2 linked regions of the Xenopus tropicalis genome follow. The protein of the gene in region 1 binds, or shares a complex with, the protein of each later gene. Links are inferred from orthologs where the notes say so. Each region holds a gene or a part of one and is shown on either strand. Other genes may lie near its edges.

Region 1 (4,138 bases):
TTGAGACTGATTTGCAATTAAGTGTAATTGCAGTAATTTTGATGTACTGGCCACAGCTGTGTCAGATCTACTGGTGTGTGCAACCATGCTGGAATTCTGGGAAAAAAGGCATTATGGGACATGGCGATTGTGCTTGAAATTGTACTTTGCTCACAACAGTCAGTAGTAAGCAAAATTGACGCCTTATAGCCCCCTATTCTTAGCATGTTCTGTAAGTTTACATTTAAAATAAATGTCAGTTTTTTATTCTATTGGAAAATTGTATAGAATGACACTACCTTCAAATTTAATTCCCTTTCTTTCTGTGGTGAAAACTAGAACAGAATAAAGAGATAAATCTTTCTCATGGAATGTAATCTCGCCCAAAGTATCCAAACCCACATTCCTTCATTAACTGGGCAATGCATAGTGCAGTAAAAGATAACTATGTAACAATGCATTGCTTAGCAGGAAACCCTTTATGTTCGTTCCTAAGGTCATTGCATCTTAAAGTAACGTTTTTTGCAGCAACACTTTTATAGGTTGCATAGGAGACTGATTTGATTCGCTCTGTATACTGAACATTGTCATACTCCTCACTAATAAGTTCTGTGGGCAGGTAACTGTTGCTTATGCTCAAGCAATATAAAGTGCAAGCACCAGAGGTTAATGACCAAAATAGTAGGGAAAGACCAGATCTACCTTTCATCAGCACACAAGTCTGCAACTCCCCTAAGGTCTGATGGGAGACAGTTTTCTTAAGTATTCATGGGTTAATTCATGTTGGTGACATTAAAAACAAGGCAGGGGCAAACACGGCATAGAAGTGCTGCAAGCCTGCTGTACTTAGTGCTCCCAACCTTTATGTTCTCAATAAGTTGATATAGCCAGCATTTCTGTTACACATGAAGGGGAGAAGCATCTGACAGGAGCACTGGGGTGACTACAAAACTGATATCTATTTAAATATAGAAATCCTGCCAGCAGGAGCACATTATATATAATATACTCCTTGTGTATGTACAGAATTGCTTTTAATATGTTGTATACGATGCACTTAATGATAGAGGTTTAGCAGTACTGATTGTGAGAAAACAATTCAGCTTATTAAAAGAACACATTCTGTTTGCAGCACAAGCACACCCCTTTTTGTTACCTAAACGGAGAAAGGGAGGGGAGAGGGAGAATGAGAGAAAAGCAGAAGGAAGGAATGAAAGGCTGGGCTCTCTCTGTGCCTGGGCAGAGTCAAGGAGGGAGTGACTTCACCAGGCTGAGGGAATAAGGTGCGAGAGTGGTGACAGAGTGACATTACTGTGCCAAGAAGCCTGCAGCTGGCAGCACTGTGTCACCATGCAGAGATCCCCTCTGGAGAAAGCCAGCATCTTTTCACAGATTTTCTTTAGGTAAGTTCCTTCATACCTGTGCTAACCTGTTACTGACTGGCACAGAGAATAATGGCAGAGACATTCTAACTCTGGTGGGGTGCAGTGCCATGGTATGGTGCTGATGAGTTTAGGCCAGGAACATTCAAAGCTTCTACATTCAGGATCCTGATTTAGCAGTATCTTTATTACCCTGGACAAAAAACAAACACTCTGATTAATAAATCAGTTGCTGGCATTTTGGACTTTTACTGCTTGTACTTGCTTCATTTAGCCTGCACAAATACAGATCCAATGGCAAATATTTCTGCACTGCTTGTATTAGCTAAAGATGACTACAAGACAATTGTCAGTAATATACCCTATCTTTCACACTTACAGTAGCCCCAACCAGTTTACGTCTGTTTGCATTACAAAGGGAAAGTTAATTTTACGTTGACTTTTTGTGTGGATTCAAAGGATCTTCAGTATTGTTTTTTTAATTATTACATTTGCTATTCTAGCTAACCTTTTGGCTTAGCCTCCATTTGAAAATACAATCTGATTATCAGGGTCACTGACCTCAGCAACTATATTGCTTACTTTTGTGTTTAGACCATCACTTTGTCATTTTCCATTTTGATTTCAAAACTTCACTTTGGTTGCTAAGTATATTAACCCCTAGCAGGCAATTAAAAGTTGAAGAACCAAATATTTAAATAATTAAAAATCTATGAATACCAGTTGCAAATTGCCTTAGATTACTGTTATCTATGCCATATAAAAGTTAATTTTAAGGTTAACTACCACTAAATGGTTTTTTGATTAGCTTTGGGTGGTTTTTATAGCATGCACCATAACATAAAAGATTGTAAGCAGCACTTCAAGGCATAAAACGTACTGTATTGAAGAACACATTCTGCGTCGTTCTCTGACATGCTACTAGATATACCTATGTGTTTTACAAAGCATGTTAGCAGGAATCTTGTTACTCATCTACTAAAATGTCTCAAAATTTTTTACAGGCAAGGCACATTGTAATATTAACATGGCTGAAAGGATAATCTTGTTATTTAATCAAATAGTGACTGCAGGGGTCAAGCAGCAGGAGCTGTTAGCAAAAAACAGTGTAGGTGCACTGTTATTCCAGTATTTGAATAGAATTCATTGTATGATAGGGTATTGCTAAAGATTTGTGTGTCCCATAACAGTGGCTTTATTATTTCTATCCATCCTGGTAGTTTATTTTCATAACAGGCAGCTGGATTTATTCATGTCCTTGTATTAGTTGTGCTGTTCTGATTGTTATGGGATTTGGGCTCAAAAATCCTTTATGTGCATTTGCCTTGGCTTGCGAAATTGGAATTTTCAGAGGACAACAGGTGTGCTTAGCCTTACCACACATCACCTTTAAACAAGGAAGCTTAATACCAAAATAGCACAGACCTGCCTTATGATGTTTATTGTGTGACCATATTTGAAGCAAAGAATGAATAACCTTATCATTTAATGGAATAAGGACTTTGATTTTGATCTTATATTTCTAACTCCACGAGTTACATGAAATAACTCAGATTTTGTGGAATTGTATTTTTAGTGCTCCATTTTTTTCTGCATATTTACCTAAAAATCTGCCAGTTTAACCTTTTACAAAATTCATCAGAGCCAGCTAAATGGGACACCTATTCTAATTTCATTCAACCATGTGTATGTGGGTGTGTATGCAGAGTAACATTTTATAAAAAGAAATGACATCCAGCAAAATTATTAAGATAAATTAGAATTATATAGAAAATTGAGTGTCAATGCAAATCATTTTAGGCCAACAAATATTTGGAAATGGACTAAAAGGTCATTTGTCACTGAAGCTGTTGAAATACAAAATAAAAAGACAATTGCAGCAAGCTGTTTATGTCTGTTTGTTAAACTGTAGTTTGCGTGATTTGTAAACAGCGGTGCATACTACATAGACATAGCCATAGGCTATTAGGCAATAAAGGAGCATAGCAGTTAACTGAGAGTAAGAAACAAAAACTAATAGCATTGTTGTAATGAAAGGCACATTGGCCCCAATGCAGAATTTGTTGTCCTATACCCCTAGTCACAACCAGTTTGTAAATTCAATCCCCTTTCTCCATGTGGCCCATTAGGGCTTATTTACAAAGAAAGTGCACTGTGAAAAATGTAAATGCAATTCAACATGTGTTTTACTAACAAAGTCTCTATAAGAGTAGACTCCTAAAAAATTCCAATAACCAATGTTGACTCAAATCCCTTTCACAGAGCAATGGCTAAGAGAGGTGTATCAATGTATATATCATGCTTTCTTACATCTTATAAAGCCTGATTGTTACAGAATCATATACTGGGAGTTTACTTGCCCAGGGGCCACCATCTTCAATAGGCTAATAGACCAGGCTAATCATTACCCTTGTGATAATCAAATTAACATCAGACCAATAGACACTTGTTATGTACAATTTAGTTTTTTTTATTGACCCAGAAAGTGTTTACAGATCTAGAAATACACATGCTTTCATATTGCATCATTCCTACCATAAGAAATGTATCCCTTGCGTTTCAAACAAGCTGAAGTATTTTTATGATTATTATTTTAAAAACACCTCAGATGGTGACTCTACTGTGTGGCAACATTGTATTTCCAGGTATTGATATCCATTAATTAAAGTATGAAAAGAGATGGAGAGGAAGCCCCCTACCCTGAATCTTTTACATTTACCATAGCACCTGTGGAGGCACCTTCCAGCTACTCATTCAAGTTTCATTTAGCAGCTGTC
Region 2 (4,182 bases), on another chromosome or scaffold:
CAAAGGTAATTAGCAATATTGGCTGTGAAAGGATTTTCTACAATGTCATGTATGCAATTAACAGCCGAGCTTCTTGGTGCAAGGAGGCTATAGACAACCCGGCACAAAGGATCCGTACAAACAAGCTAAGCACATTTTCTAATGAGAAGGGTATGCAGAGCAAATATGCAACCACAGTGCTAATCCTGAGTAAAAGAAAAAAGCAATTAAAACGTTAGAAGAATTTAAAAAAAAAAATGTTTTGTTGGCATAAACTCTGCTGGTACATAGAATGCAATGCAGCACTCCAGAACCAAACTGCTTAATCATGGCAAGGCACACTGGGCAGAACGTTTATATTCTCACTCTAAACGTGCCATTATTAATTATTCATATAGCCAAGCATGCCTTTGTTTGATAGACTTTTGAGATAGACTTCTGATTTTTTAAGAGCTGTACACATGAAATATGGATGGGAGTCATAGCAGGATTAAAGGCAGCTTGTCAGGGATCAATACTGACCATCAGCTGAATAAGGAGCCAAGAAATGTATTGATTAAGCGCGGCTTAGGGGCTACATGGGAGATCAGGAAATGTGTGTATAGATTGGCAGACCTTTTCCTATATGGCTGTATATCATCTCACTATATGGGCATATACTCATATCTCTAGATGGATAAATTGGAACAGGTATAGGATCCCTTTAACCCAAAACCCGTTATCCAAAAACCTACGAATTACAGGAAGAGCATCTCCCATAGAGCACATTATAAGTAAATAATTCAAATGTATTTTACCGAGATCCCTTTCTTCTGTATTAAATAGTACTGTGTACTTGATGGGAACTAAGCTAAAATTCTACTGGGTTTATTTAATGGTTAAACTATTTTTTAGCAGGCCTCAAGGTATGGTGACCCAAATAATGGAAAGATCCATTATCTGCAAAGCCAGATAAGTGCCAACTTTATTTAGGAAATACCAACTACCTTCTAGTGGCTGAATGATAAGCCCAAGGGCCCACAGCAACCCTTTGTTATACAGGTATGGGACCTGTTATCCAGAATGCTTAGGACCTGGGGTTTTCCGGATAAGGGATCATTCTGTAATTTGGATCTCCACAATTTAAGTTAAATCATTTAAATATTGGATAAACCCAATGGGTTTGTTTTGCCTCCAGAAAGAATTAATTATATCTTAGTTGGGATCAAGTACAGGTGCTGTTTTATTATTACAGAGAAAAGGGAATCATTTAACCATGAAATAAACCCAATAGTGCTGTTCTGCCCCAATAAGGGGTAATTATATCTTAGTTGGGATCAAGTACAGGTACTGTTTTATTATTACAGAGAAAAGGGAATCATTTAACCATTAAATAAACCCAATAGGGCTGTTCTGCCCCCAATAAGGGGTAATTATATCTTAGTTGGGATCAAGTACAGGTACTGTTTTATTATTACAGAGAAAAGGGAATCATTTAACCATGAAATAAACCCAATAGGGCTGTTCTGCCCCCAATAAGGGGTAATTATATCTTAGTTGGGATCAAGTACAGGTACTGTTTTATTATTACAGAGAAAAGGGAATCATTTAACCATTAAATAAACCCAATAGGGCTGTTCTGCCCCCAATAAGGGGTAATTATATCTTAGTTGGGATCAAGTACAGGTACTGTTTTATTATTACAGAGAAAAGGGAATCATTTAACCATTAAATAAACCCAATAGGGCTGTTCTGCCCCAATAAGGGGTAATTATATCTTAGTTGGGATCAAGTACAGGTACTGTTTTATTATTACATTATTTGCTTATAATGAAGTCTATGGGAGATGGCATTTATGTAATTCGGAACTTTCTGGATAATGGGTTTCCGGATAAGGGATCCCATACCTGTACAAGGATGTTGCTAGTTGCAGTGCTATCTTGTAGATTGTAAGCTCTTTTGGGCAGGGCTCTCTTCACCTCTTGTATCAGTTATTGATTGCTTTATATGTTACTCTGTATGTCCAATGTATGTAACCCACTTATTGTACAGCGCTGCGGAATATGTTGGCGCTTTATAAATAAATGTTAATGTAATGTACAACTATAGATGACATTCTTGGTTTGCATGACAATTTAGCTACCGGATTCAGTAATTGGGATCTAGTGTATGTGAACTGTAGCCCTCAGGCTGCCTAGAAAGTGTAGATAATGATAAATAGGCCTGCATATAGATCAGGGCTTGGAAAGGCTACAAATAAACACCCCATAGAGTTGCTGATCCTGTATAATTGTAGATATCCCCAAATGGAGCATTTGTTTCCCTGATTTGCCACTTCCTGCTGCTGCAGAAATAAAGAGATCACTTCCTGATTGATATTATGAAACACATTGTATATGTATATGAAACCTATTGTATATAAGGTGTGTGCTGGCTGTATACACTCTTCTGCAGCGAATTACAGGGGACTATCTTGGTGCTTTTTCAGTATTGCGGTATTGCTTTGTGACACTATACAAGCATCTGGCCACTAGGTGTCGCTGTTTCAATGACGTCTATAGGTTAAATGAGATATTGCCTACAAAAAGCTTTGGGGCACCGGCAACGAATGACATTAAGGGGTAAAAAAAAAATAATCAATAATGTGCGGTTATAGGTTTTCCATAACAAAGAAAAAAAGTCTATTAATTATATACGTATTTTCCATTTAACAGGGAAAGCATGTAACGGGAAATGCTGGGAGCTGTGTAAGGGCAGGGCTGGGGATAATACGGCTGACAGGGTCGGAAAGAGGCCTACGGATCGGGCGAGGTTACCCTGCGCATCGGAGGGTGTGGGGTACTAAGGGGGCCCCAATGGGGAAAGCGAGCGGATGTTGAGCCCCAGGCGCTGGGGAAAGGGATCCAGGCCGCGCACAGATCCCCGCCCTTGTAAGGAGCGACCCCATAGGCGGCTATAGAATGGCCGCCATCTCCCACACGAATGCACTACGCTCTCTGCCATCGCACGTACCTCAAAAATCCGCGACCTGCCAATAGATTCAGTAATTCGACCCGGGCTAGCTCAGCTTCCCTCACCGTTCTCCTCCTCTCCTGCAGATTCACTGGCCGTTCCACTTCCGTTCCAGCCGCCACTTCCGCTTCCTTCAAGCCCCGCCTCCAAGCCCCTCCCCTCCACCTTTCTCCTTCAGTTCTAAACTCCTGACAGTACAACAAGCACTGGCGGCTTCACTGGAGGGAGGGGAGAAGCGGGGTGACCTCATCGTTTCCTCGGCAACGGGGAGATGACGTCAACCGTCTTAGCAGGAGGGGTGGGAGGAAGCGCGTCTGGGCGGGAAGGGGAGGCAAGTGTCAGCTTGTAGGGGGTTTGAGGCGACACTTTGCGGGGCTTTTGGGCAGAAATCAGGGGGATTAAGCTGCCCTGACACAGTTATGAGTATTATTGAGTTTCTCAATCGTGGGGTATACAGAATGTGTTATTGTGCATTCTGTGGGGAATGAAGGCGTCTAACCTGCTGCAGTCTCCATTTTGTCGTCCGCTTATCTTTCCCCACCCCCTTTGAAAAAAAAAAAAAATCTAGCTTATTCAATTTCAATAAAATGGTGTTGTGAAAATAATCAATGAACTGCTTCGATAAAGCAATAGTTTGGGCGATTGTAACGTGTGCTTCGGGACCTTTGCTGTCAGGCTGACCGAGTGGCCTACACCATTGTCCCTTTGCCTCTAGGGCCCCTGTACAGCCTCATACCGGCCTAGTGATATTGTATTTGTTTCAGAAGCTGCTGGCTGCCTGTGGCCCTTCAAGCTGCAATTATTCTACAGGGGACCCTTGGCACACTGACCTGCAGTTAAAAAAAATATACCACATGTTTAAAGGAAAAGAAACACCAAAAATGAAATTGTTTTAAAGTAATAAAAATATTACATATACAGAAACCCTACTATAGTTTATATAAATACCCTGCTGTGTAGCCCCGGGGGCAGCCATTCCTGCACTGGTACAGCTGGGGTGTTTGCTACAGAAACCCTACTATAGTTTATATAAATACCCTGCTGTGTAGCCCCGGGGGCAGCCATTCCTGCACTGGTACAGCTGGGGTGTTTGCTACAGAAACCCTACTATAGTTTATATAAATACCCCGCTGTGTAGCCCCGGGGGCAGCCATTCCTGCACTGGTACAGCTGGGGTGTTTGCTACAGAAACCCTACTATAGTTTATATAAA

Evidence for each region. The genes of interacting proteins can lie anywhere in the genome.
Region 2: the proteins of cftr (region 1) and ywhab are in contact, whole or in part, in a crystal structure (PDB 6HEP), measured with the Homo sapiens proteins. The link is inferred for Xenopus tropicalis from reciprocal best matches to the Homo sapiens genes CFTR and YWHAB. Residues at the interface, in NP_000483.3 of Homo sapiens: Arg764, Arg765, Arg766, Gln767, Ser768, Val769, Leu770, Asn771, Leu772, Met773; in NP_003395.1 of Homo sapiens: Arg43, Asn44, Ser47, Val48, Lys51, Arg58, Arg62, Phe119, Lys122, Arg129, Tyr130, Glu133, His166, Pro167, Ile168, Gly171, Leu174, Asn175, Val178, Glu182, Ile219, Leu222, Asp225, Asn226, Leu229, Trp230.

What each region holds. Positions count from the first base shown.
Region 1 is NC_030679.2:68,497,408-68,501,545, forward strand, and holds the start of cftr (cystic fibrosis transmembrane conductance regulator), read left to right. Parts: upstream 1-1,183; 5' UTR 1,184-1,329; coding exon 1,330-1,382; intron 1,383-4,138. UniProt on the Homo sapiens protein: Epithelial ion channel that plays an important role in the regulation of epithelial ion and water transport and fluid homeostasis. Mediates the transport of chloride ions across the cell membrane.
Region 2 is NC_030686.2:12,511,832-12,516,013, reverse strand, and holds the start of ywhab (14-3-3 protein beta/alpha), read right to left. Parts: upstream 3,059-4,182; 5' UTR 2,971-3,058; intron 1-2,970. UniProt on the Homo sapiens protein: Adapter protein implicated in the regulation of a large spectrum of both general and specialized signaling pathways. Binds to a large number of partners, usually by recognition of a phosphoserine or phosphothreonine motif.